Linked DNA regions of Canis lupus familiaris. The protein of the gene in region 1 interacts with the protein of each later gene in a pairwise test. Links are inferred from orthologs where the notes say so. Each region holds a gene or a part of one and is shown in the gene's direction. Other genes may lie near its edges. The genes, in order: CREB3, FIS1, SLC30A2, BIK, DRAM1, GJA1 and SFT2D2.

Region 1 (4,158 bases):
TAGAATCCCAGATACCTGCAATTCTAGTTGAAGCCCAGATCCCTAACCTGAAATGAGTTTATCCTATCTCTGGGCTAGAGAACCCCTGAAACTACGTAGGAATGAGACCTCCCTGCAAAACGAGAGCACCTACCTACTGCCAATCTCTTAAATTCAATATATCCAAGGTCAGCTACCCTAACCTCAGCCATAACCCCCATAAAACTAACCCTAATCCCTAATATTAACCCTGACCCTAATTTGGTTCCTGTTTCCCAACACTGGCTTTGACATTCATCCCTTTCCTGGCAGACACCCGTCCCCAATCCTTGATCCCTAATATTGATCTACTTTTTACCTCTAGGAATGAATTTCCTGACCTTAACTCTAAATGTTGATCTCTAAGCCTAAAACTGTTGTCTCACTTGACTTCTGATCCATCCCTTCGCGATTTATCCCTAGTTCCATGCTAATGTTCTCTAATCCCTAAAAAACTGGACTTCTAATTTAAATCCTGTGTTGACCCTTAAACCGGCCCTGAACCCTAACTTTGACTTACGTTGGCCAGAAACAGAATAATGACCTAATCCAAACTCTACCTACATAAAACGGACCCGACTCACACTGGTAACTCTAAATGTCAACTCCGGTTTTTAACTCCGTAAGCTAACCTTTAATTCCTAAACCCAACTCTACCTAATTCCCAAACTCACCCCCAGCTTTCCTACCCGCATACTCACTATCAGCTAACCTCAAAGCCGATCCCCGCCCTGCGCCTCACTGTCACCCAACTCCTCACCCTCCCCAAAACTTATTCCAGACAGAGAGGACTTGATCCCAGGAAAGGCTTGGCTCCCTTAAAACGACCTACTTAACTTCCGATCCCAAGCCGAGATACACTGGACGCTGACCTCTCCAACAGGACCCGAAACAGCGGACGCAAGGGCCCCGCCCGCCCTGCCACCCGCGCTGCCACCCGCGCTCGCGCTCGCTTCCCGGTCCTGGCCGTGCGGCCCCACCCTGAGGCTCCGGCTCGGCCCGGTCCGGCCTACCTGCGCTGCCCGGCTCGTGCCCCGCCCGCCGGCCCGATAACCCGCTCGCTCTCCCGGTGGTAATCGGGCTTCGGCCTCGCCCTCCCTTCGACACTCTCTCGGCCACTTCCGTCCCCGGAACGTCCCCCACCCGCGGGCGGCGCCCTGGGCCCGCGCTCTATGGTTGTGGGGGCAACAGGAAGCTGCTCTGGCCCCAGCTCTCGATGCTCGGGAGCCGGCCTTAAAAAGGCGCCCCCCCCCGCCCCCCGGCCGGCTCCCCCGGCAGGAAACAAGGGTGCGGCGCAATCCGGGAAGACGCCCGAACTGCGCGCGAGTTCCCCTTTGGTCTCTAACCCTTCCTTTTTTTTCAGCCTGGGGCCGAGGCGGAGGCGGCCTCCCAGATTGCCCGCCCTCAGGGTGTGAGGAGGCCGCAGGGACGTCCCCTCTATTTGCAGAGCTCCCGGGACGTGGCGCGCCGCGGCTAGGCCACTTCCGCGTCGGAGGGAACTCCAAATCCCGTGGTGCCTCGGGGGTGTGCGCGTCACTTCCGTGGTGTTGGAAGTTGCGGAGAATCGGGTCTTGGGGGCTGGTGCAATTTCAGAGCGACAGGTCCGGGCTTGCGGATAGGTCTCTCTGTACATCTTTCCGGTTGTTATCCGGTATGGAGCTGGCGTTGGACTTGGGTGACCAGGACCTGCTGGATTTCCTGCTAGAGGAAAGCGGCGATTTGGGGGCCGGGCCGCCGCTTTCCGAGGTGGGTGGGGGCTGCGAGCCGGGGAGGCGCGGGGATCCCGGGAGAGCGTTCATGGGGTGGTGGGTAGTTGATAGGTCAAGGCTTGTTTATTTGAACCCTGTGCAGGCGTTGAGTGAATGGGAGGCAGAGGATTTCCTGAGTTCCATGCTGAGTCCCCCAGCATCGTTGAACGTCCTTAGCTCCTCTGATTCCTGTCTCGTGCACCATGATCACACCTACTCTCTCTCACAACAGCATGTTTCCATAGATCTAGGTGAGTCTGAAATATGATGAGGAAGAAAGTGAGGTTTGAGGGGAGGAGAGGCTTCGTGGGTCTGGCTATTTATACTTTTCGTTTTGCAGATGGTGGGAGCTATGGAAAAGAAGAGGCCCAGACGACCCCACTGCAAGTGGAGGAGCCCGCAGAGCAGGTACTTGATTTATGGCGGGATCATTCCCACATTGCGCGGGTGGGGGCGGATTCCCCATTCCTTTCTGTCATCCCCTTGCAACTCTGCTGCCCACCTCCTGGTAACTAATCCCAGGAGATTGCTAGGCTGATACTGACAGATGAAGAGAAGAGGCTGTTGGAGAAGGAGGGGCTTACTCTGCATGGGACGCTTCCTCTTACTAAGGTAAGACTCCCATTGGTGGGAGTGAAGGCTGGAGGGATGTGTTGTGGATCCCAAGTGTGCACTTCTGTTAACTTTATGTCAGGAAGGACTGAGGTTAGAAAACTTGGCAAATTTGTTGGTAATAGGAAGCTGGAGCATGATGTTAATATGGTGGATGCAGAGGCAGATCCTGGTTTTGTGGGGCTCATACAAGTTTTGGTGTTTTCTTTGAGAAGAATTCAAAATCATCGATGCAACATTAGTGTAGGGTCTTGGAAGGGACTGTGCAAGCAAACTCATGGTAATCCACCTGTAGCTAAATGGTTAGAGTTCATCAAGGCTGGACTAAGTAATATAGCAAGAATAATTGTAAAATCCCAAGTTTTAAGTTTCAGGCAATGAATAGCAGCTTCACAAGCACAGTATTGTGGTACTGTTGTGAAACCAACACTACAGGAAGGTTGAGAGAATTTTCTTAAAAGTACAAGATGGGTTAGTTTGAGATGACAGAGAGTGGGGTTTGAAGGCTGTATCAGTAGAGGTGTTGCCTCTAGAAGGGCAGTGACCATCTTCTTCTCCATTATACTGGCCAGAGCACATCTTAGTGTCTAGTTTTGAACCCAGATCTTTGACAGATATTAAGAGGATGCAGTCCATCCCGAAGAGAGGTGAGAAGTTAATTTTTTTTTTTTTAAGATTTTACTTATTTATTCATGAGAGACACACAGAGAGAGGCAGAGACACAGGCAGCGGGAGAAGCAGGCTCTATGCAGGGAGCCCGATATGGGACTTGATCCTGGGACTCCAGGATCGTGCCCTGGGCTGAAGGGAGGTACTAACCTGCTGAGCCACCCAGGCATCCCGAGAAGTTAAAATTTTTGCCCAGATCTTTTAACTCTGAAGAAATGTTAAATGGCTTAAATTAAAGACTGTTCATTCTGGGATCCCTGGGTGGCTCAGCAGTTTAGCACCTGCCTTCAGCCCAGAGCGTGATCCTGCAGACCCGGGATCGAGACCCACAGCAGGCTCCCTGCGTGGAGCCTGCTTCTCTCACTGCCTGTGTCTCTGCCTCTCTCTCTCTGTGTGTGTGTCTCTCATGAATAAGTAATAAGATCTTAAAAAAAAAAACAAAAAAAAAACCTTCATTCTATATGGTCTCAGAGATAGGTACCAGGTAAGTTCAATTGATAGAAATCATAGAGGCAGATGTCGGTTAGCTTAGGATAAGGAAAATTTAAAGATTTTTTTTTAAAGGTTTATTTATTTTAAATCTTTTTTTTTTTATTTTTATTTATTTATGATAGTCACAGAGAGAGAGAGAGAGAGAGGGGCAAAGACAGAGGCAGAGGAAGAATCAGGCTCCATGCACCGGGAGCCCGATGTGGGATTCAATCCCAGGTCTCCAGGATTGCGCCCTGGGCCAAAGGCAGGCGCCAAACCGCTGCGCCACCTAGGGATCCCGGTTTCCTTATTTTAAAGAGAGATTGTGCTTGTGCATGCAAGCAGCAGGGTGGGGCAGAAAGCAAGGGAGAGAGAATGAAAATCTCAAGTGGACTCCCTGTTAATCACAAAGCCCAACGCGGCACTCCATCCCATGATCCTGAGATCATGACCTGAGCTGAAGTCAAATCAGGAGTCAGACTCCTAACCAACTGAGCCACCCAGGTGCCCCAAGATTTTTTGTTTTGTTTTTATTTTTAAAGATTTTATTTATTTATTCATGAGAGACACAGAGAGAGACAGAGACATAGGCAGAAGGAGAAGCAGGCTCCTTGAGGTAGGCCTGATGTGGGATTTGATC
Region 2 (4,409 bases), on another chromosome or scaffold:
TAATGATGGCAACAGAAATATTTACTTATGCAACATTTACAAATTGAGTATCTACTGGTGGTGAGCCCTGAGTTGGGCCCTAAGTGCATCATAGGAGCAACAGAGACATAGACCCTACTTCTCATGTAGCTTCTAGTCTCAAATGAGAGGGTGTCATCCATCAAGTTATCACACAAATGTATAATTACAAACTGACAAATAGTGTGAATTTAAAATACTGGCCACTACCCAAGACTGTGAAACCAGTATTACAATATCAGCAGCATTGGTGGTAGTTTGTGGGGTTTCATTTTTAATCTTCCTACTGTACTTGAAACAAATGGTTTCTCAGGATTGCTTTTCCTTCTAGGTTTCAAATTAACCTGAGTTGTTCCTAGTTTACCCTGGTGCTTAAGGGAAGTCCTCTACTGTATATCACCAAAATTTTACAAATTTACACCTGAATTTCTTCAAGATGAATAGCAGAGTGTACTTAGGAACTTGTCCTATCCTCTCCTCTTCATTCTTTAACAGACTCCCCATATCAAAGTCATTTCATTTGGAGCTAAGTAGAGAATATCCCTTGCTGACCTAACTCACAAGGCTATTAAGAGAATTAAAATAGATAAATAAATAAAGGGGCTTTGCAAACATGAAAGGTGTTTGGATCACAATTCCCTGCATTTGCATCCCCCTCTTTACTATGTTCACTTTATTTCATGTCTATTTGACAAATATTTATTGGACCTCAATCTTGTGCCAGGTGCTAGGGATGCAAAGATAAATAAGATCCAGGCTCTGTCCTCATGGAACTTACACTGTGCCCTGGAGCACTGTGGGTGAAGGTGAAAAGAATGAAAGTCACTACCTACCCAGTCCCCTCACTGCACAGCACAGGTGCCAGAGGAGTGAACATTTACCTTTCCCATGTTTTGATGTTCCTGCCCATGACCCACAGCACATCTTCCCCCTCAGGCACACCCAAAGGATGCTCTAAGTATTAAAAGATTGGACCATCTCTACAAGTAATGGGGTAACAGCTTTTCTTTAAATTCACATTTTAAGATTTTTATTTATTTATTTATTTATTTATTTATTTATTTATTTATTTTACATTTTAAGATTTCCATAGTATCCCCTATTCATATGTATTCCAGTCTCTGGGTGTATGGTTAACAGGTCCAGTTGTCAATCCTCTCGTAAGTCAGCAGAGGCCCTAAAAACCTTGGTACCAGGTTATGGTTTTGTGACAGGCACCCAAATGTAACGTAGCCTCCAATTTCCTAGACTTAGAGGGGGTGAGGCCGGAGGGGAAGTGATCCCCCAAACTTCAAGATCATGCCAGGTTCTCCACCATCCTTTTTCTGTTTTTCCAGCCCAAGGGCTAACCACCAAGACATAGGCCCAAACTCTATTAAGGCAGCCTCGGTGGAGGAGGGCACACGCGCGGCACCCGCGAGGACAAACGTGGGACTTAGAGCTGTCGGCAGGTGGGGGAACAAGGTGGTCCGGTCGGAGCGTGCGCATTAGTGCCCCAAGGTGTGCGCTGACGGCGCTGGGAGGAAGGGGCGGGGCGCCACCGGCAGTGGGCGGGCTTGGCATCAGCTGCGTGAGGTGATTGGCTCTGCGCTGGGGAGGGGGCCTACTTCCGCCGGACGACGGAAGTGGCTCTCCAGCCCTGCCAGTAGGCCATGGAGACGGTGGCACAGTAGCGACTTAGGTGTGAGGATTGCAGGGGCGGCGGCCATGGAGGCCGTACTGAACGAGCTGGTGTCTGTGGACGACCTGCTGGTGAGGCCTGGCCCCGAGGGAGGGAAAGGGAACCTTCGGACGGGCGGGTCCCGAGGAGAGTCCGGTTGGGGCCAGACCCTCTACCCAGCATCAGTTTAGCCTAGAGAAGCCGAACTACGGCTCCCGGCATCCTCTGCAGCGCCCTGCCCCTGCCCGGTGGTTCTACTTTGTCGCGTACCCTAATGGGAGTTGTAGTTTCCCGGGCCACCACGCCCCAGACTCAGGGCCTGCTTGTCTGGCGTGGAAAGGCTGACAGGTTCTGGGCTCGTGCAGGAGTTAGGTCAGAGTGCGGACACCTTCTTCCCCCCTCCCCACCCCACTATTCCTTTAGTGTCGGGAGAGTATAGAGACTACCTTGAAGTTTCATATAATGCGGCACGGTGCTAAATGCATTGCAGGTCGTATCTCAATTTTTGTAGCTCTAGGAGGTGGGCACTGTTTTAATTCCCATTTTGCAGATAAGAAAAGGTCCAGACCCGACCAGGGGGCTGGTTGGGGGAAGCAGCCACCGACGAGGGATCGCGTGGGCTGTTGTTGAGCAGTTCTGACAGCATGTTTACTGTTTAGCCGCTCCCGGTCAGCTGGTTCCGGAGCGGTGCCTGGAGCCGCCACCAGGTGGCCCTTCCGCTCGGTACCACTAGGGGGAGGGACACGGACCGGGGTACTGTCCAAGGAGACAGCCCGCCGCTAAGAAGCAGGATGCCTGGGTCTGGGTCCAAGGGATGAAGGTAGCAGAACCTGGGAGGCCAGATGTCAAGATCCGCGAGGGAAATGTGGCAGAGACTGTGGAAGATGGGGTGTGACTGGGAAATGGACACGCAGGGCCTGGTAGAGAATGGCGTGCCTCTTCATTTCTAAATGACTCCTCTCCTCTCCTATGGCAGAAGTTTGAAAAGAAATTTCAATCTGAGAAGGCAGCAGGCTCCGTGTCCAAGAGCACGCAGTTTGAGTATGCCTGGTGCCTGGTGCGCAGCAAGTACAACGACGACATCCGTAAAGGCATCGCATTGCTGGAGGGTGAGGTGCTAGGCTACGCGGCTCTCCCCTTCTCTGCCGCCATGGCCTCGTTCACTCCCTCCATCTAAAGTGCTGGGATCCCTTTTCAACATGGGACCCTAGAGGAGTCACCTCACAGTTAGTTTCCCATAAACACCTGCAACAAAGGGCTGCCCCTTAGCCTGGCTTCTCCCAGTGTGCTTTTGGCTAATTACCACCTCATCCCTGTTTTGCCAGTCAGCGCAGGACAGTCCCAGCAGGACTTAGGCGATCTGGTAGTTGACCATAAGGAACTTGTTAGAGGTCACACAGCTAATGAATTAGTGGCTGAATTAGGACTAGAAGCGCCTGTCTTGTGTGTCCCAGTCCCTTGCTCCTTGTCCCCACCATGTTGCTTATTCAGCAGCTGTTGAAAATTTTTCACGAGGGTGGCGTGGAAGAAGTGCAGAAGACAGTCTCCAAAACCTGTGAGCAGATGGTCCTTTTTTTTATTGGAATCCTACTTCCCCTTGGTTTGGGATGGGTCACCATTTGTCAGAGGTACGCAGCACATGAGCTTTAAATTTCTCTGTGCCCTGCATCCCCTTTCTCTTGGTCAGTAATCATGTACTAAAATGGTGTACAGCCAAAAGGTGGCCATGGTAAATCTATGAAAACAAGAATCTTTTCTGATGCAAATCACTTCCACCTATGTTTGCCCCTTTCGCTCATTCAGATTTTTCAGGTTTCCTGCAGAGCAGTGCACAGCTGTAGGTGTGGTCTCCTAAGCATCGCCAGTCCTGTTGAGGAGACAGGACAGACACTTGGGAAGATTTGTCAACACTTGCCAAACTACTTAGCCACACAGATCCCATTGCACAGCATACAACTGAGCACATAAGCCTATGAGAAGTCCCTGAATTAGGAGAGAGTCAGGTTGCATCATTCAGGGAATGCTAATTGAAGATGAGTTTCTTTCTTTCTTTTTTTTTTTTTTTTGAAGATGAGTTTCAAGTTGCTTTTTTTAAAGGGGGAGGGAGTGCAGACTTACTTGAACACTAATCTGGGCAGCAAACAAGGGCAGTGAGAATGCACAGCAGGTGCCAAAGTGAGTCGAGATGCCTTTGGCTTCTCCAGTGCCTTGATTTCCTCTCAGTTTACTGAGATGAACCAGAGCTGACGGCAGTATTGAGATCAGGGTGTTGATCACCCCGGTGTCCAGCAGCCTGGGTCCACACTGCCTGAGAGGTCCGACTGGGAAGTCGAGAGTCACTGGAACTGAAACGGAAGCTCAGGACAGTGACTTTCTCCCCGGATCATACAGGGAGTCAGAGAGTGGAAGGGGTCCCTGACACACAAGCACTAGGAAAGGTGAGAAGTAGTTTTCACCCTCTTCCCTTCCCACCTTCCCTAGAACTGCTGCCCAAGGGGAGTAAGGAGGAGCAGCGGGATTATGTCTTCTACCTGGCTGTGGGGAATTACCGGCTCAAGGTAAGGCAGATTGCCCCTTTTCCTACCCCTCCCTACTTGGGTGGGCCACCGGCATCCTCTCATTTCTCCACCAGGGGAGAGCCCTGGCCATTGGGAAGGCCGAAGAGGGCCATGGGCAGGGGGTACAGAGGTGCAGGGTGATGGCAGGCCAGGTCACTGAGGGAAAGTGAGAG
Region 3 (4,274 bases), on another chromosome or scaffold:
TATTTATTTATTCACGAGAGGCACACAGAGAGAGGCAGAGACGTAGGCAGAGGGAGAAGCAGGCTCCCACAGGAAGCCCGATGATAGACTTGATCTCTGGACTCTGGGATCATGATTCAAGCCAAAGGCTCAACCGCTGAGCCACCCAGGCGTCCCAGAAACCTGCATTTAAACACCTTTTCCAAGTACTGCTGATTTGGACTGGTTTTTAGACTATACCAGGAAAACCACAAAACCTAAGGTAAACGTTTTTCACAGAGTCCAGAGGAGGTGGAAAGGCACTCAGTGGGGACCCAGTCTAGGGCGGCATGGTGCTGCCATCCTCTCTCCTTGCACCTAGTCTCCAAATAAAATGACTTTTGTCTGGGAGAGACTGAGGTGTCCCTTTTTATCCCCAGCGGTGTGGACAAGTGACTTGCACCTGAGACACTTGTCTACGTGAAGGGACATTGCCAAGCCACGGTCCCCTAGACCAAGGACACTGGGGATGATGGAGTGACTGGGCAGAGAGGTCAGCAGTCCGGAGTTCTTTCTATATAATCCATCAGAGTTCATCCATTAGGCTAGGCCATAAGGTCCTGACACCACCTCCCCCAAGGGACCGCTGTGAGAGGACACAGCTTAAAGTGGGTGGTGGGTGCACCAGGCCAACACAGGCAGCTTCTCCCGCGGAACACCACGTACGGCACCTTCCTGGGGCTTCTGTGAGATGCTGCGGGGCAGGGAAGGGAGGGTGGCGGTGATTCTTTGCAGATGGTCACTGCTGCTGAAGGGCCACACTGCTCCGTGTAGGGTGGAGATAAAGCCACTCCAGATAGCAATCGGGGCGCGCGGGAGGCGGGAGTCACAGCCAGTCAGTCACAGCCAGTCCCAAGGAGGCCCTTGCCCCAGGCCCAGGGCGGGCACGTCCCGCCCCAGGAGACCCCTAGCCCGAGCCCAAGAACGCAGCCGGCCTCAGGAGTCTCCAGCCTGAGGGCAAGACACACCTGGCCTCGGGAGCCGCATTCCTGTTCTCAGGGGACCCAATCCCACAAACGGAGCTCGGCGAACTCCTGGGCGGGATGCGGCGGGCCGAGCGCGGGGGAGAGTGCGCGCAGCCGCCGCCCAGTCCCAAGTCGGGCGGGGGCGGCTCCTCGCGGCCCGGGGGCGCCGGGGCCGAGCGCTCGGGGCAGCGCCGGGGAACCCTTTGCGGCCGGCCTGCCCTCCCCCACCCCGCGGCCTTTTGCACACGACGCGCAGCTTCACACGGGGAGGCCGGGGCCGGATAAAGCGGCGGGCGCGGGGCGCAGCGGCGGGCGCGCACGGGCTGCGGGGGCCGGGGCTGCAGGGGGCCGGCCGGGCGCGGCGCGGGCGGGAGCGGCGGCGGGAAGCAGCCGGCGGGCGGGCGGGCGGCGAGCGGGGCCCTCCCGGCAGGTGGGTGCGCGCTGCGCGGGGGCCCGCCCGCAACTCCCAGGGCGCACGGGACGCGGCGGCGGCGCGCGGCTGCCCGGACCCCGCGGGGGCGGCCCGGGCCGCATGGAGCCCACGGAGAAGCAGCACCTGGTGGACACCAAGTCCGGAACCCGGTAAGGCGGGAGCCGCGGGGCCCAGGGCGCGGCGTCGGGCGCATCTCCTGGTTCGCCGCGGGCTGGACGGTTTGGCCGGCGGCTCGGCCGGGCCCACGCGGAGGGGGCGGCGGGAGGCGGGGGAGGGGATGCCGAGCTCGGGCGGGGGGATCAGCCCCCCACCTCGCGACTGAGCCGGGAGCCTGACCCCCGCGCGCTGGTGCGCTGTCGCGTGCCTGGAGCCCCGCCCCCGCCCCACACTTTGCCCCCGGGCAGTCCCGCCCTGGGAGGCCCTGGGTCCCCAGGTGCACAAGAGGGGCGCCTGCCCTCCTCCCTGAGCCTGAGCTCTGTTCCTTCTCCGTGCTTGGCTGCGCTGGCCCTGCGCCTTGGCTAGTGCCCAAGGTCTTTGCCTCCTCCGGGCCCCGGGACGGGAGAGGGGGGCGGGGGGGGGGGGGAGGGACACCCTGGGCCAAGACCCCGAGACTCCTGGACTGTCATTTCCCCAGCACCCCGACTCCACACATGAGTTTCTGGTTACCCTTCAGTGACGGTCGGGCTTGGCGTGCCCCTCGCTACTCTTTTCGTTGGACACATGGGAACCCCAGGCCCACAGAGAGAGGACTGAGTCGGCCCTCCTTGCCCCCCACTCAGAGCTGAGTCCGCCCTCTCCCGTCCTCTCCGGCCAGGTCTTACACGGGATCTCTGTGGCAGGAGGGGACTGGCTGGATCCCTCTGCCCTCACCTGGCCTGGACTTGCAGGCCATTGAGTTAGTCGCTGAGAGTAACCATTACTGTCATGCCCAGAAGGGTCCTGCCAGTCACCTCGAGCCCAAGAAGGAGCGGGCCCGGCGACAGCTTTATGTGGCCTCTGCCATCTGCCTGGTGTTCATGATTGGGGAAATCGTTGGTAAGGACTTTTGTGCTAATTAAATGAAATTGGGTACATGGATAGTCTCATGATCCAAAAGGCTTTCCTCCAGGATGTTCTCAGTAATATTATACTAGTAGCCCCCGGGGCGTCTTGCCTGACTCCGGTAGAGTATGTACCACTTGATCTCAGGGTCGTGAGTTCAAGCCCCACGCTGGGTGTGGAGCCTATTTAATTAAACAAAACAAAACAAAAACTAGTAGCCCCATTTATTGAATATTCACTATGCTGTTGAATATTCAGTACACTGAGTCTTTCATATACAGGTTTTCTCATCCGGTCCTCATGACAAGCTTGTATTGTCATGTGGGTGCTGCTATTCTTCTTTTACAGATGATGAAACTGAGGCACATTAGGGTTAAGTAATTTGCTCAAGGTCACACACATCCAGTGTGTAAGGGATGGCCTGAATAATGCCTAGAAGGAAAGACCATTTACTGAGTGCCTACTATGCTTTCCAGGCCCTATTTGAACTTGATTTTGACAATCACCTTCTAAGTAGATCGTGTCAGTCCCATTTCACAGACAGAAGTTGAGGCTTAGAGAAAGTCACTTGCCCGTGGTTACACAGCTATTGGGTCCAGAGGTCCCAAATCCACAGTCTTTCTCCAGAACCTGTGATTTCTCTGCTGCATGCCCAGTCTGGGAAGTTGGCTCCATGAGGAGCTGATAAAACTTTTCCGTTTCCCTGGTCCTGCTCCTGCAGGTGGGTACCTAGCTCACAGCTTGGCAGTCATGACCGACGCAGCCCACCTGCTCACCGATTTTGCCAGCATGCTCGTCAGTCTCTTTTCTCTCTGGATGTCCTCCCGACCAGCCACCAAGACTATGAACTTTGGCTGGCAGCGAGCTGGTAAGGACCCTGGTTGGGGTGCGGATGGGATTGGAAGAAGGGGTAGGTCAAGACATAGGTTCTTTGGTGGCTGCCATAGGTGGATCCCTGAGTGAGTCCAGGAGGGTGATTTGGGTTGGGGAAGAGGATGTGAGTTGTGGCTTCTGACTTCTGCTAGGTCCTAGTCTGATGGGGGAGCCCTGGCTCCCTGTCCTCTGGGAACTTCTGGTCTGCAGGGAAGGAGAGTTCACTTTCCTAAGAAATGAAATGGCCAGACTTCAAGAACGAATGACAGTGGAATCAACTCTGCACGTAATTCCATGTGGAATAATTTCCTCTGGGGGGAAAGGCCAGCAAAGCCTTCTGGAAGATATAGGCTTTAAAACCCTTTTGGTTCATCTCTGAGCTGCATTGTCATTTTCTTCATGGGGGATGGCCCAGTCTCCCATCAGAAGCCTCAGTTTGTCAGCTGAGCAATAGGTACATATTTTAGAAAGTCAGTTTCTTTACAAAAAGGGTTGACTTCATAAACTCCTTCTAGCTCTGATGTGATCTGACATATGTGTGGTGAGGTAAGGTATGACCATGCCAGCCATACCGTCCGCAGAGCCGAGGTGGATCCAGGCCCTGACTTTGCAGGGGAGGGGCGGAGGGATCATGGAGGGATGAGAGATGGGGAGGCCTCCTCAGTCTTCAGGCCCCACGCTAAGATTGGTGTTGGGGGTTGGGTTCTTCCTCAGAGATCCTGGGAGCCCTGCTCTCTGTACTGTCCATCTGGGTCGTGACTGGAGTGCTGGTGTTCCTGGCAGTGGAGCGGCTAATCTCTGGGGACTATGAGATCGAAGGGGGGACCATGCTGATCACATCGGGCTGTGCTGTGGCCGTGAATATCATGTGAGTGTGGCCTCAGTTCCCTGTGAGGCCTCCCTCCCACTTTTCACACACACATCTGCACACCTGCTCTCAGTGG
Region 4 (3,091 bases), on another chromosome or scaffold:
AGCAAAGTGGGGGCCAGGGGAGGGGCATGTGAAGGTTCCCTGCCCCCCACCTTGCTCTGTGCCGCCCCTTGCCTCCCACAAATCCGGGGCCCGGTGGGCCAGGTGGGCCTGTGTATGGGGGTCACCACACGGCCACACCCCTAATTCCCTGTGCCCTCCCCACAGCAACAACCCCGACGATGTGGCCATGCGGCTGGCCTTCATCGGGGACGAGATGGAAGTGAGATGGATGCTTCCCCGCGTTGGCGAGCTGCCCGGGATGGCCATGTACAGGTGGTGCCCCCCCCAGCCCTCCACCTCCTGCCCCGCCCCTGCCCCTGGGCCACAGACTAAGCACAACCCAGTGCCTTCCTCTGCCTCTTCATCAAGCCAAGACTGTGCTTTTCCGAAAGGGTCTTGACTTAAAGTGCTGGTAGGAAGTGGTGAGCTTGGCGAAGCCGTGTGTCCTGCCGGGAGGCATCTGTCCTGAGCACACTGTGTACTTCCACCATTTGCCAGCATCTCTGGGTTCTCAAGGTGGGGATGTGGAAACCCTCCCCCTAAGCCAGAGCGACTGTGGTCTCCTGGTCCCCAGGGAGGCAGCCTTCTGTTGGGGTGCCTGGGCCTCCATCACAGCAAAGATCCTCCGGAGGGAGGACCGGCAGGTCCTTGGGCCGGTGAGCAGTGGAGCATTTTCCAGAACCCAAGACCAAAACCCCCGGTAGGCCGGTGGGTAGGGGAAGGAAACAGGAAATCAGATGCATTAGGACCAGAAATGGCCCGTGGAGAGAGAACCTCTGGTGGATCCACCCGGGGAAGGGGGTAGAGTGGTGTGGGGGGGAGGGGACGCCGCCCTCCTCTCCCCGCGGGGGTCCCCTGAAATAAAGGCCATCTCCGCCCCTGTTCCCTGCAGTAATGGCCCTGCTTCCCTGCCCATTTGTCTTACAGCTTGGCTTTTACCTACAACCAGACAGGCCTGAGAGGTGTTCTTAGAAGTTTCCTGGATGGTCTTGCTAACCTCAGGGAGAACATCCGCATCTGGAGCTTCCTGACCTTCCGGAACAGGGTAAATGAACCGTGAACTCTGTGACCTTGACTTACCCGCCTGCCTGCGGTGACACCTGCAGCCACGGAGCTGCTGCCCCGCAGAGCATGTCCTCGGGTGCCACAGACTGCTCCTCCCCGCCCCCCGTTGTCTTGTGGTGCCTGCTTGCCCTCGTTTCTCCCGGTTTTCAGCTTGGAGACCCCTGGTTTATCAGCTCCATGCTCCGGTTCTTTTTTTCTTTTTTTAAGATTTTATTTACTTATTAATGAGAGACACACACACACAGAGGCAGACACACAGGCAGAGGGAGAAGCAGGCTCCGTGCGTGTGGGAGCCCGATGCGGGACTCGATCCCGGGCCTGCAGGATCATGCCCTGGGCTGAAGGCGGCGCTAAACCGCTGAGCCTCCTGGGCTGCCCCCCACCCTATGCTCCAGTTCTCAGGCGTGTTTGCTCCCACACCCATGCTCCGGCTCCCCACCCACCCCCCGGGAGCACCTTCACCAGCCCCGCGTGAGCCTCCCTAACCATCCTCGCTCCTCTGCCCGGCAGGTGCCTCTCCTGAGCCTCTTTCCCGACCCTCCTTGTCTGTCCCAGCAGCACCGGGGACCGTCCCTTACCCTAGCTCAGCCCCCACTGGTGCCCACGGCGGCCTGGGTAGGCTTCTCCTCTGCCGCCTCCCGGGCCGTCTCCCCGGCCCACCTGTGCTCTGGCTTCTGGGTGCTGTCCCCACCTGTGAGCTGTGCTGTCCGGAGACGCTCCTGTGTCCCCGCCTCCCTGACCCACTCTCCAGCACCCTCTCAGCCACCCTGGTTCACCCCGTGCCCCTGAGCACACGTGGGGGGCACCTGAGCACCCCCGGCCCCGGCTGGAGGTCTCACCTCTCCCGCCCTTCATCCCACAGGTGTCCCCCAACCCGGGGCGCGGGCTGGTGCTGTCGCTGCTGCTGCTGCTGGTGCTGCTACTAGGCTGGGGCCTCCGCCTCCTCCAGTGATACCAGCTGGAGCCGCTGGGGACGGGGCTGGCCTCGCCCCCGCCCGACCGCCACCCTGGAGGTGGCCTTGCTGGTTTTGTTGTCTTTTTTAACTGTTTTCTGCTGATCCCTTTTTTTATATTTAAACTCCGAGTGCTGGGACACTACTGAGGTTTCATACTAGTTTTTTCTTTCTTTTTTGTAAGAGAAATGAATTCATTATACCTCGGGGGTCGTTACTGGTTAACTGCCCGCGCCAAGGCCTGGCTGGGCCGCTCTCCTGGCCTCAGCCCCTGAGGTGGCCTGGGTGCTGTCACTGCCACCACCACCCGGCAGGGAAGGAGCCTGGAGCCTTCCTCTGGCGGCGGGGGTTGGGGGGGGAGTGCTGGCCACACCCCCATGTCGGGAAGGCCCCTGGGCGAAGAGAAAATCTGCTGGAATAGATTTGATGGCTGAGGAGAGCTCAATAAAATGTTGTTTCCAGCTGGTCTCTGGTCCTCTCTGGGGTTTGCCGCCCGGCTCTGGCCCCTTGCTGGAGACTCAAGGGGGAGGGGGAGAGAGGGCGGGCGTGTGCAAGCACCTGTACGTGATCACACACCTGCAGGCTCTTTCCTGCACCTGCTGTCGTGAAGTTTGGCCCAACACAATCAGGTTTATGCCTTCTCTCGTCGTGCCTGGTGCCTGAATCTACCATTAGGGATTATTTCCTTTGGGCCTTCAGTCTTACAGCTGGGCTGCCTGCCCTCCCCAGGTTTGCTCATCCAGCACTCCCCGCTGGACAGTGCGGCCTGCAGGGAGAAGGGGCTAGATGAGGGGCACCCCCGTGAGGGTCCAGCCTGCCCCAGACCTGGGCCCAGTGCTGTTTCTAGACCCAGTCAGGTCCTCTTTCTGGAACTTGGGCTCTGACTGTCCCCCTGCCCCACCACAGTTCCCGTCTCAGATGCCAGCCCTGGGCTGGGCCCCCCCTTGCTCCAGCCCCGTGCCCACGTCCTCTGCAGCTGCCTCTTCGGGGCCTGCCCTCCGCTAGCCCCAGAGCCCATGAAAGCCCATCTGGCATGTGCAGCTACATGCCTCCCTCCGGCCAGGCTGGCCAGG
Region 5 (3,610 bases), on another chromosome or scaffold:
ATTTAATCAGTCCCCTATGTGAAGCCTGGAGGCTATTTCTGATTTTTGCAATTTTCCATGCTCAAGTGAATATTCTTTATTTTTTGGTGAATATTCTTTTAAATACATCTTTGCATATTGATGTAAGTTCCCCTATAAGGTACATTTGCTGAGTAAGAGTTCATACATATCTAAAACTGTGATAGCCATCCATGTAGTCAACATTCAGTTTGTAGGTGCCTAGGGTGTGGTAGGCTCTGTGTTTATTCTTAGTGCTAGGGACCCAGCTGCAGAAAGACAAGGACCCTGCGGTTGCGGAGATTAGTTTGTGACTTTACTCTCCAAACCAGTAAGTGGTATTTGGTTAATTGATGAGCTCTTCAAAAAAAAAAAAACACCTTTAAGTACTCTCCTGACACCATTCACAAAAATCAACAGCAATGAAAGGATTAACCATGCAAAGCAAAACTGTGAGATAATAAAGAATAGGAAAGTGCTCTTAAAACCTGAGGGTGGAAACTCTTATCTGAGCTTACACAAAACCCAGAAGCTAAACAGGAAAGGACTGACGGATATAGAAGATAAAGAAATTAAAACTTCAAAGTGAGAAAGATACAGAAAACAAAGTTAAAGATGGACTAGAAGAAAATTTGTAATATTTACGGCAGATAATCCACTAAAGTACATAATGTGTGAAAAGCAACAGCAAATTAAAAACAAACAGACAAAGTCAAGAGAAAAATCAGGAAAAAAAATTGAATGTGATTTTCAGAAGAAGAAATGCAGGTGACCAGTAGACATACTGAAAGTTTTCCATCTCACTAATCACCAGAGAAATGCAGATTAAATCAACAGGTTGCGATTTCTCCTTCATTAGATTGGCGATAATTAAAAAGGCAAGAACATGCAGACCTGCTTTCGAGCTTTACTGTGAGAGTATAAGTGCCACAAAACCGTGTTGGGGCGATTTGTGGATACTTCTTGGTATTTTACTAGTGCACACTTTTAGCTCCAGTAATACTACTCCTAGGAACTCGTCTTTCAGAAGCACTGAAAGTGTGCTGAAGCCTTGTGTACAAGGCTTCTCACTGAGCATTGCTGGTAACAGGGAAAACACTGGCGATGTAGGAGCCCGACATGAGGGGGCAACAGACTAAATCAATAGGGCGATGAGACCTGTAAACGCAGTGAGACAGTGATGCAGGGCGAGCTCCACGGTGGTGTACTTTATGTGAGAGAGAAAGAAAGTCACAGGATATGTGCACAGTAGCTTTACATGAAAAGGGCAAAAGGCAAGCTGGTGTGTGTGTCTGTCTGTCACACGGAGGCGGAATAGGGGGTGAATGGGAAATGACGGCAATTAGGAGACTGAAGTAGAGACTCAAAAAAAGCAATGCAAACTGTCCCTGTGGTTTTCGTTCTGAAAGGTCAAATAGTCACAATTCAGCAAAGTGCCTTTTATCCTTCCAGGTGCAGCCACGATGTACACGAGATATAAAATAGTGGAGAAGCAAAATCAAACCAGCTATTTCAGCACTCCTGTTTTTAACTTGGTGTCGCTAGTGCTCGGCTTGGTGGGCTGTATCGGAATGGGCATCGTGGCCAATTTCCAGGTACGTCCTCGGTTGTTGGCACCCTAGCGGCTGAGGGGGCACGTGGAGGGCAACAGCAAGGGTAGAGGCTGCCTGTGTGGTGGGGGGGGGGGGCAAGCATTTAAGTGGGGTAGGTTGCTTCCTAGAAACAGGTCTTTATCATCTGAAGGTCCCTGCAGGGGAGACTGGGCGGGCGGCGTGGGGGGCATGGGGAACCCGTTGCGCTCAGCAGTGATCAGCCAGGTTGATGGTGGGAGAGGCCTTGGGTCACTGGGACAGCTCCGTTAAGTGTGGAAATATTGGGGGTGCCCGGGGAGCTCTGTTGCTTGAGCCTCCGAGTCCTGATTTCCACTCAGATGGTGATCCCAGGGGCCCTGGGGGCCCGGGATGGAGCTTGTCCCTGTCCCTCTGCACCTCCCCCCGCCTGGGCTCACTCACTCTCTCTCTCTCAAGTCAATAAATTAAATCTTTTTAAAAAAGAGTATGAAGATATTTGTGTGCACGAGCATGTGTGCGCAGGTTCGCAGAGCGGCCTCCGCCCGGCAGCCTCGCCTGCCCGGGTTACTCAGCGCCCTCACCTGGGAGCCCAGGCCTCGGGGCGGCCTGTATGTGCTCTGCAGTCCGCTCCTCCCACAGCAGGTGGGGGGCAGTCCCGGGTCTGTCCAGCCTGTGGCCACTGGCTCCTCCCGGCCTCGTTCTGGAAGCATGGGAGCTGTTTGTCCATGGAGACAACATTTCATGTTTTAAAAATACTCATTGTATATCGGGTTTGCAAAGGGGATGGGGAGGGCTCCGCGCCACGCTCCGGGCCCAGCAGGCTGAGGGGGGGCCACCGCGGCGGTCGCCGGCACAGGCTAGCACTGCTTGGCGGGCTCCGCTCCCCACTGCGGTGTCTTTGCGGCTGCACAGAGGCCGAAACTCCGGAGGGCTCATGCTCCTGCCCATGGACACCGCCTTACAGAATTTTCCCGTCTTGCATGAGGCTTATTTTCTAAAGAGGTGTTGGCCTTGGCCCCTGGCCACCGCTGTCCCTCGCCAGAGCCAGGCCGGGCGCTGCACCTGTTCCATCCACTGTCCGCTCTCCGTGCACCTGCCGGTGCCCCTGCTGCACAATGTCAGGAGCGTCACTGTCGGGCAGTCTGTTCCACCTTCACGCATGCTCTCACTGCCCGCGGGGGTGCCGCCTATGGGGGTCCACCGGCTGCAGGGGGGTTGCTGGCTGCGGGGGCTGGGGACAGCACAGTGCTGTGGGAAACTTAGCACCGCGCTGTGAGGGGTGAGGGGTGAGGGGGGTGGACACCTTCCTGACTGCGCGGCTGCTCCTGGGCGCTCTGCAGGGCAGATAATCTCTTGGGTCTCAGGGCTCACGAGTTTGCTTTGCTTTGCTTTGCTTTCTAGGGAGGGGTGTGTGTGTGCAGAGCGAGAGAGGGAATCCCAAGCAGGCTCCACGCTCAGCCCAGAGCTCCAGGCAGGGCTCCCTCCCGTGACCCTGAGGTCAGGACCCGAGCTGAAATGAAGAGTCGGACACTTTACCAATGGAGCCACCCAGGCGTCCCACGAGGTTTCATTCTTGAATGTTCTAAAGCCCCAATCATTGTTTCCTCGTTGACACTGAAAGGTGCAAAGGGGAGAGACAGGTTGTACCTCCACAGGCAAGTGCACAGGGCTCGGTGGAGCGCACTGTGCAAGTAGATTTGCCTCTTGCTCCATTTGACTTTCCTACCCTCGTTGTGCTTTTATGGTGAAATAAGACAAAGGCTATAGCACATGGTTTCAGGTGACTTTGGTCACATGGGGAGACTCTTTTTCATGATCGTGTGCACTTGGTTTTTCATGACAACTGATTTATTGAAAATTTCCTATGTGACAGAATTTATGAAAACCTTCCGTGCTTTAACTTCTGTCATCCCCATAACAGCCTCAGGAGACAGGTGGTGTCCTGGTCCTGGTTGCCAGGGGACACGTGGGCCTGACGGGTCATTCTGTGTCCCGGTCGAGCATGGCAGGGCAGCCGCGGTGGGGATGGAAGCCACCGGCCA
Region 6 (4,269 bases), on another chromosome or scaffold:
GCCTTAATCCAGCTTCACTATGATTTTAAAACCAGTGTGTGGTGCATTGGAAGTCCTTAGTCTTGGGATCATTAGTCTTGTAGCTCTACTGGTAGCTGAATATTTCCTATACCTTTAAGAGCTCAACTTTCATCAGTTAAATGAACTATGGGCAATTAGAAGTATAAATTAAATTAGCCAAGTAACTTTTGACATCCATGTCATCTCTACAGAATTGAGTCCATTTCACACTCCCAACAATGGGGAAGTCCTAGGCTTAAGATATCTAGGTATTGATAGAAAGTTAAATCTAGTGTATAGGATGAGGGTGCAAAGCCTGATAAGGGAACTTGAAGGTATATAGTAATTTAAAGATGAAAACCAATCATTTTTGCTAGAGATAACACTTTAAGATGGTAATTTAAAAAAATTTCTTAAGCTATAATTAGTATTGAGACAAATTGAACTTTTACTTGAAATGTGATGCGCAGGAGCACCGGGGTGGCTCAGTGGGTCAGGTCTCCGGCTCGCTCTGGCTCCCATCATGATCTCATGGGTCTTGAGATCGAGCCCCCATGTGGGGCTCTGCACTCAGGAGGGAGTCTTCTCCACCCCCACTCATGCTTATTTGCTCATGCACTCTCTCTCTTTCTCTCTCTAAAATAAAATAAATCTTTAAAAAAATGTGATGTGCATTTAGACTTTGCTTTTTTGAAAGTAGTTTCCTGCACATAATGACACATCGTGTCAAAATGGCGTATTTTAGTACAACATATTTTTCTCTGGGCAGAAGACAGACTTCTGAACCACCTAAGTCACTGCTTAAGAAGAAACAGAGAAGTATAAATGACCCTATTATAAAATATGCACTAATTACACTTGAACGAGCAAGGTGAAACAGTTCAGAGTACAATTAGGGATAAAATTCTATATAATAGGATGGAGGTTTGGAAACAAGGTTGTGTGTGTGTGTGTTTGTGTGTGTGTGTGTGTGTGTTCAGGGGCGTTCTTACTTCAGTTCTTAAACACCTGTACTTTTTGAAAACCGTCCTTTCAGCATTTTGCTTAGGCATGCATCCAGACACAGGCCTACCCGGCAAGAATTGCCCTCATTTATCAGACGGATAAAATAAGCAGAGGCACTTAGCATAGACAGTTTTTCGAGTCACATGGTGGGGCAGTGGTTGAGCAAGTTAACCTGTCCTTTGCAAGTTAAGATTGCCATTTACTGGGGACATCGGCTCTATTGCTTCTAAGATTTACCATATCTCAAGAAAATTGTGAGACTTGTTTGCAGGGGGAAATGGGACAGGAAGAGTTTGAACTTATTTTTTTTTTTTTTTTTAATTTGGAAGAGTGCTAGAAAGATAGGAGACCTTTTATCTTATTTTGACTCTCAACTGGAGACAACTATACATTTTAACTCATACTTTACAGTCTGTGATCATTTAGTTGTCTTTCGTTTCTTTTCAGGTGGTGCCCCGGCAACATGGGTGACTGGAGTGCCTTAGGCAAACTCCTTGACAAGGTTCAAGCCTATTCCACCGCTGGAGGGAAGGTGTGGCTGTCTGTCCTTTTCATTTTCCGAATTCTGCTACTGGGGACAGCGGTTGAGTCGGCCTGGGGTGATGAGCAGTCTGCCTTTCGTTGTAACACTCAACAGCCTGGTTGTGAAAATGTCTGCTATGACAAATCCTTCCCAATCTCTCATGTACGCTTCTGGGTCCTGCAGATCATATTTGTGTCTGTCCCCACACTCTTGTACCTGGCTCATGTGTTCTACGTGATGCGCAAGGAAGAGAAACTGAACAAGAAAGAGGAGGAGCTCAAAGTTGCCCAAACCGATGGTGCCAACGTGGACATGCACTTGAAGCAGATTGAAATAAAGAAGTTCAAGTATGGAATTGAAGAGCACGGCAAGGTGAAAATGCGAGGGGGCCTGCTGCGAACCTACATCATCAGCATCCTGTTCAAGTCTGTTTTCGAGGTGGCCTTCTTGCTGATCCAGTGGTACATCTATGGATTCAGCTTGAGTGCCGTTTACACTTGCAAAAGAGAACCCTGCCCTCATCAGGTAGACTGCTTCCTCTCTCGCCCCACGGAGAAAACCATCTTCATCATCTTCATGCTGGTCGTGTCCTTGGTGTCTCTTGCCTTGAACATCATCGAACTCTTCTATGTCTTCTTCAAGGGTGTTAAGGATCGCGTGAAAGGCAAGAGCGATCCTTACCATGCTACCACTGGCCCACTGAGCCCCTCCAAAGACTGTGGATCTCCGAAATATGCATATTTCAATGGCTGCTCCTCACCCACGGCTCCCCTCTCCCCCATGTCTCCTCCTGGGTACAAGCTGGTTACTGGAGACAGAAATAATTCTTCCTGCCGCAATTACAACAAACAAGCAAGTGAGCAAAACTGGGCTAACTACAGTGCAGAACAAAATCGAATGGGCCAGGCAGGAAGCACCATCTCCAACTCCCATGCACAGCCTTTTGATTTCCCTGATGACAACCAGAATTCTAAAAAACTAGCCGCTGGGCATGAACTGCAGCCACTAGCCATTGTGGACCAGCGGCCTTCCAGCAGAGCCAGCAGCCGTGCCAGCAGCCGACCTCGGCCTGACGACCTGGAGATCTAGATCCAGGCTTGAGAGCATTGATTCCACTCAGTGTGGAGAAGAGAAAAGGTGCTGTAGAAAGCGCACCTTAGGCGTTCATTTTGTTTCAGTGGAGGTGGTACTCAACAGCCTTCATCGTGAGGCTTAGAAAACACAAAGACATTAGAATACCTGGGTTCACTGGGGGTGTTTGGGATAGGCGGGTGGAGAGGGAGGGGAACCGGGAGGTACAAGTTGGTATTTAATGTAGTTTATTCAAAGAACTTTAGTTCTAAATATAAGTTGCATTAGGTGATACATAGGTAAGGGCTTTTTCTCCCCCCCACACACCCTAAGAATAGTGCTGTATATGTGAAAGAGTGGGTGATATATTTGGTTAAGTACTTTTTTGTTTTACCATGAAACTGAGATAACTTTGGCCGGGAAAAAAGAAAAATACTTCCTGGACATCTTGTTTCCTTTTATCAAGAAGAAGTTGGAGGATTGTCCTTATGTCCCTGCTAAAAAACATTCCATTGTTAAAATTTGCACTTTGAAGGTAAGCGTCCTAGGTGGGACCCTCCAGGTGTCTGTGGACTTGTGATACTATATTTTCTATTCTTGGTATCAGTTAAAAGTTCAGATAGGGCCCACAGAAAAAAGACTTTCCATGCATTTTCAAATCTCAGCCAGTCATATGTACATTATTTTTTTTTAACATCTACTTGCATCCTATTAATGCCATCACTTTTTCATCATTCCTCAACAACTGTTCACATTCATTTAATGGTTTCTGTAAAGATTTTTAAAACCGTGGGGATATCACTTAACATTTTTTGAATTAGAGTCAGGGAATCAAGCCATGCTCAATATTTAACAATCACTTCTATGTGTATGTGTGTGGAAGAGTGTGTTTTATTTGTCATGTATTGGTACAAGCAGAGCAGTATAAACTCACAAACACAGATTTGAAAATAATGCACACATAGTGTTCAAATTTGAGCCTTTCTCATGGATTTTGTGGTGTGGGCCAATATGGTGTTTACATTATATAATTCCTGCTGTGCAAGTAAAGCACACTTTTTTTTTCTTTCCCTAAGTGTTTTTTTCCCATGTATCCTATTGTGGATACTGGTTTTGTTAATTATGATTTTTTCCCTTTTTTCTCTTTTTTAGAATATAGCAGTAATGCTATTGCTGAAATGGATGATTTTCTTTTTCTGAAATGTAATCATGGATGCTTGAATGATAGAATTTTAGTACTGTAAACAGGCTTTAGTAATTAATGTGAGACACTTAGAAGAAATGCTTAGAGTGGGCTTTTAAGTGTGCCTAAATGAATTTTGCAGTAACTGGTATTCTTGGTTTTGTCCTACTTAATACACATTAATTCAGAACTTGTATACTGTTAAGAGTTAGATTGTCTTTTGGAATGACCAGCAACTTTGATGTTTGCACTAAGATTTTATTTGGAATGCAAGAGAGGTTGAAAGAGGTTTCAGTAGTACACATGTAACTAATTTATTTGAAATGTACCCTAAAGAAATCTACCATGTAACTAATTTATTTGAAATGTACCCTAAAGAAATCTACCAGTTTCTTCAAATGCCTTTTTAAAACTCATCAGAGATGATTAGTAAAAATGCGGAGTATCATACTTTTCTTCTTGCATGTCAGCTACATAAACAGTTTTG
Region 7 (3,610 bases), on another chromosome or scaffold:
ATTTTTGTAAATTGGCGAAAAGGAGTGCTTAGCTCTCACTGAGACCAGTTGGAAGAAGTGGAACAGCACTTTCCTCTTGCTGTGACCAAGCGTGTAAAAGACTTGCAGTGACTCTGGGTGGGAAAGCACACGGATGAATAGTTATCTGTCCCTCTCCCCTCATTTTGCCAAGTTGGATGACGTGTGGATGGAAATTCAGCTTGAGGGACTTGTAGAATCAACATGTCACTTTCCTTTCTGAAGGAAGAAACCAGAACTGCTTTTTCCTTGTGTCAGCTTGATCTTTACGAGGACTGGAATCTCACTGTCCTGTTGAGACCTTTTAGTACTCTAAATGCCAAGGCCACCTCAAACTTGACACTTAACCTTATGGTTTATCCTCTTAAAATATCCCTCCTGATGCCAAATAGTGCTCGAGCCATGAATCTAATCCAGTTCTGTTGTCACACTTGTCTCCCTGTGCGCAGGTCAGTTCTTACTTTCTACCTTGGCAAAGTAAGCTCTTTGTTTCTTGCATGAGTAGGAAGAGTGGTGTCTTCTGATTTTATTTTCTTCTTGATGGCATCTTGAATATGTTAGAAGTCAGACCTGATTGTCCAGGTGCCTGTCCAGCCTGGTGACAGGGCATCATGTACCTCATTTTGGAGGAGGGGTTTTCCTCAGCGTGGAAGCAGGTGGCCCATCTGTGAGGTCCCGATATCCTGTTCCTACTGTGTGTTACCATCCCCAGTGGTGCCTTTCTGTGCAGTGTCCATTGGTGCCACATGCTTCTGCAAGTGCTGTGTGTGTGATGGGGAATTGCAGTGTCATGAACCCCCTTTAAATATGTGTGAATAGAGGCGCGCCTGGGTAGCTTAGTCGGTGAGGCATCCGACTTGTGATTTTGGCTCATATTATGATCTCAGGGTGGTGAGAGCGAGCCCTGTGTCAGGCTCTGTGCTAGGCGTGGAGCCTGCTGAAGGTCCTCTATTGCTCCTTCTGTCTGTCCCCCTCTCCCTTTCTTAAAACGAAACAAAAATATATGATTATATATAGTTGGAGGAAAAGCTGTTTTGATAACCTGCCCTGAATACTACCTTTCTCCCGAAGAAATGAAGCCATTCTGTAGCAATGCTGGCCACCCCTGGGAGAGCCACTAGTCCTTCTCTTCAAGCTTCTAGTTTGGTAGGAAGTTTGGAGACACGATTGAGAACAGTCCCTGAGCTGGGAACAGTCAAGGCTGAAGGAGTTGCCGGTCCAGCGGCCCTTGCAGCTTCTGCTACCACTTTCCTTCTTGAGCTGGTGGGAGTGTTTTCTGGCAGCTTTCTCTCATTGCGGGATGGAGACTGGGGGGCCAGACAAGGTGAGCCTTGTGTGAATACACTGGCTGGCTAGGCAGGACTTGCAGTCTCAGTGGCAGCTGCCTGTCCCCAGCTTGAAGCAGCCATGGCCCCTTTCATGAGGTGGACAGACTAGGAAGGTCTCTTGCCTAAGTTCTCTACACATGGGGGAAAAACTTGTGGGGGCTACTTGCAGGCTGCCCTGTTTTAGCAGAGCTGTTTTGGGAAATCTTGGCATCCTCTGAACTTTGCTCTGGGGAGGGATTAATTACAGTCAGATGAGTGGGGCAGTAATGAATTAACTAGGATTTGTCTCCCACTTGGGTGACTTGGCTGGTGCCAGAAGTGAATAGATTCAGCTGAAAGCCCTGGCACAGATGACAGCTGTTAATCCTTTGGGCTCTCAGAGATGCTGCTGTCTGCTGTCTTGCCCCCGCTTGCCGGGCCCCTGCCTGGCGGGGGTCGTGCCTGTGCAGTTGTCCTTGTCCTGCCACGGCTATGGCAAGGGTTCTGGCTTCTCTAGGGCCTACTGTCTTGCCTTACTGTGTGCGAAGTGGTTGTGCTTCAGGTGGAGAGTTTCCACCTCTGGGGATGTTCATCTAGAAGCTCAGTAACCTCTTAGCCGCTGCTGGAGAAGATTCATGGATGGATAAGGAGCTGGATTCCATGACTCGGCTCCTGTAGCTCTGAGTGAGTGAGTCGGATTCTTTGCTCCTGCCTTCCTCAGCACAGACTCACACACTACATCTCACTACTAAATCTCATTGTTTTTGGTGCTCAAATATGCATATACATGTATGTAATCAGTTTTTAAAAAATTTCAGGTTGTTGAGGCATCTTCATTAAGCTGGAGTACCAGAATAAAAGGCTTCATCGCGTGTTTTGCCGCAGGAATTGTCTGCTCACTACTGGTAAGATGTTCCTCCCCCCCACCCCCCTCAGCTTTTCCCCACCCTGTCCCTCCTTCCCTCCATCTCTGTTGTTCACTTCCTTCTCTCTTTTGCTCTTTGTGAGAAGCATGGCTGGGAGAGAGAGATAAGGGAGGTGCTGAGGGCGGTGGGAGGGGAGAGTGGGTGTCTCTGTCCACCCTTGATTATATGGCTGTGGCAGGAGGGCTTTCTCCCCGTGCAAACGCCCTGTGCTTTACCTTCCAGGGAACTCTTCTGCTCTGGGTGCCCAGGAAGGGACTGTACCTCTTTGCAGTGTTTTATACCTTTGGTAACATCGCATCAATTGGGAGGTAACTGTTTATTTATTTTTAATCTAACCATAGCCAATCACTAGATGGGACAATGGGTGTGGATTGTGCTCAAGGAAGATGAAGGAGGATGCTTTATTTTTTTTAAATTTTATTTTTTAAAGATTTATTTATTCATGATAGACTCAACAGAGAGAGGCAGAGACATAGGTAGAGGGAGAAGCAGGCTCCTTGCAGGAAGCCCGATACAGGACTCGATCCCAAATCCTGGGATCATATCCTGAGCCACCCAGGTATCCCAGGAGGATGCTTTAATAGTTCGAAGGATGTGGTGAGTAGTAGTTAAAATACATCACATCCCCCCCAAAATAACATACATCTTATATCCTATCCCTTCAAAATATTTTAGCATATATATGTATTTTTTAAAGATTTTATTTTGAGATGGCTGGGTGGCTCAGTTGTTTAAGCATCTGACTTTGGCTTGAGTCATGATTTTGGGGTCCTGGGATCTAACACTGCATTGGGACTCCCCACTGAGCCTGCTTCTCCTTCTGTCTCTCCCCCTGCTTGTGCTCTCTTTCAAATAAATACATAAATAAAATCTTGTTTTTGAGAGGGAGAGAGAGGGATTGTGCATGAGCGCATGAGGGGTTTATAGGGGAGGAGCAGAAGAGAGGGACAAGCAGACTCCGGGGTTAGTGTGGATCCCGACACAGGGCTCGATCCCACAACCCTCAGATCATGACCAAAATCAAGTTTTCGGACATTTAACTGACTGAGCCACCCAGGCGCCCCACCCTGATATTTTTTATCTTAGTTTATTTTTGAAATCCCCTGGGATAAATTTATTGTGATTTTTATATATGAGGGAACCGTGGCACACAGTGGTTGAATGATTTCTTCCGGCTTGACAGCACGATCCTCTCTGCACTCTGGCCTGCAGCTGCCAGAGATTGAGTGGTGGTTTTAAAAGGCTCACCGCACCAGAGGCTGCAGGTGTGATGTATTATTATTCTGTCCAGATAAGACCATCTCAGACCTGGCTCTTGGCTCATGAGGGCAGGGCAGCTAACAGAGTACCCCCTGGAGG

What was found.
Region 2: the proteins of CREB3 (region 1) and FIS1 interact in a two-hybrid assay, tested with the Homo sapiens proteins (2 studies listed by BioGRID and IntAct). The two-hybrid records come from large-scale screens. The link is inferred for Canis lupus familiaris from reciprocal best matches to the Homo sapiens genes CREB3 and FIS1.
Region 3: the proteins of CREB3 (region 1) and SLC30A2 interact in binary tests that used the Homo sapiens proteins (3 or more experiments, as listed by UniProt). The two-hybrid records come from large-scale screens. The link is inferred for Canis lupus familiaris from reciprocal best matches to the Homo sapiens genes CREB3 and SLC30A2.
Region 4: the proteins of CREB3 (region 1) and BIK interact in a two-hybrid assay, tested with the Homo sapiens proteins (2 studies listed by BioGRID and IntAct). The two-hybrid records come from large-scale screens. The link is inferred for Canis lupus familiaris from reciprocal best matches to the Homo sapiens genes CREB3 and BIK.
Region 5: the proteins of CREB3 (region 1) and DRAM1 interact in a two-hybrid assay, tested with the Homo sapiens proteins (2 studies listed by BioGRID and IntAct). The two-hybrid records come from large-scale screens. The link is inferred for Canis lupus familiaris from reciprocal best matches to the Homo sapiens genes CREB3 and DRAM1.
Region 6: the proteins of CREB3 (region 1) and GJA1 interact in binary tests that used the Homo sapiens proteins (3 or more experiments, as listed by UniProt). The two-hybrid records come from large-scale screens. The link is inferred for Canis lupus familiaris from reciprocal best matches to the Homo sapiens genes CREB3 and GJA1.
Region 7: the proteins of CREB3 (region 1) and SFT2D2 interact in a two-hybrid assay, tested with the Homo sapiens proteins (2 studies listed by BioGRID and IntAct). The two-hybrid records come from large-scale screens. The link is inferred for Canis lupus familiaris from reciprocal best matches to the Homo sapiens genes CREB3 and SFT2D2.

The regions. Positions count from the first base shown.
Region 1 is NC_049232.1:52,553,969-52,558,126, forward strand, and holds the start of CREB3 (cyclic AMP-responsive element-binding protein 3), read left to right. Parts: upstream 1-1,275; 5' UTR 1,276-1,671; coding exon 1,672-1,764; intron 1,765-1,869; coding exon 1,870-2,017; intron 2,018-2,106; coding exon 2,107-2,174; intron 2,175-2,288; coding exon 2,289-2,378; intron 2,379-4,158. UniProt on the Homo sapiens protein: Endoplasmic reticulum (ER)-bound sequence-specific transcription factor that directly binds DNA and activates transcription. Plays a role in the unfolded protein response (UPR), promoting cell survival versus ER stress-induced apoptotic cell death.
Region 2 is NC_049227.1:8,555,405-8,559,813, forward strand, and holds the start of FIS1 (mitochondrial fission 1 protein), read left to right. Parts: upstream 1-1,609; 5' UTR 1,610-1,725; coding exon 1,726-1,770; intron 1,771-2,654; coding exon 2,655-2,787; intron 2,788-4,159; coding exon 4,160-4,236; intron 4,237-4,409. UniProt on the Homo sapiens protein: Involved in the fragmentation of the mitochondrial network and its perinuclear clustering. Plays a minor role in the recruitment and association of the fission mediator dynamin-related protein 1 (DNM1L) to the mitochondrial surface and mitochondrial fission.
Region 3 is NC_049223.1:73,317,703-73,321,976, forward strand, and holds the start of SLC30A2 (zinc transporter 2), read left to right. Parts: upstream 1-1,444; 5' UTR 1,445-1,515; coding exon 1,516-1,565; exon of another isoform or gene 1,566-1,658; intron 1,659-2,230; coding exon 2,231-2,451; intron 2,452-3,178; coding exon 3,179-3,325; intron 3,326-4,044; coding exon 4,045-4,198; intron 4,199-4,274.
Region 4 is NC_049231.1:23,375,585-23,378,675, reverse strand, and holds the end of BIK (bcl-2-interacting killer), read left to right. Parts: intron 1-165; coding exon 166-273; intron 274-927; coding exon 928-1,045; intron 1,046-1,927; coding exon 1,928-2,017; 3' UTR 2,018-2,484; downstream 2,485-3,091.
Region 5 is NC_049236.1:41,068,631-41,072,240, forward strand, and holds part of DRAM1 (DNA damage-regulated autophagy modulator protein 1), read left to right. Parts: intron 1-1,449; coding exon 1,450-1,592; intron 1,593-2,969; coding exon of another isoform or gene 2,970-3,132; intron 3,133-3,610. UniProt on the Homo sapiens protein: Lysosomal modulator of autophagy that plays a central role in p53/TP53-mediated apoptosis. Not involved in p73/TP73-mediated autophagy.
Region 6 is NC_049222.1:61,513,686-61,517,954, forward strand, and holds the start of GJA1 (gap junction alpha-1 protein), read left to right. Parts: upstream 1-1,452; 5' UTR 1,453-1,468; coding exon 1,469-2,617; 3' UTR 2,618-4,129; intron 4,130-4,171; 3' UTR 4,172-4,269. UniProt on the Homo sapiens protein: Gap junction protein that acts as a regulator of bladder capacity. A gap junction consists of a cluster of closely packed pairs of transmembrane channels, the connexons, through which materials of low MW diffuse from one cell to a neighboring cell.
Region 7 is NC_049228.1:30,200,844-30,204,453, reverse strand, and holds part of SFT2D2 (vesicle transport protein SFT2B), read left to right. Parts: intron 1-2,143; coding exon 2,144-2,230; intron 2,231-2,473; coding exon 2,474-2,559; intron 2,560-3,610. UniProt on the Homo sapiens protein: May be involved in fusion of retrograde transport vesicles derived from an endocytic compartment with the Golgi complex.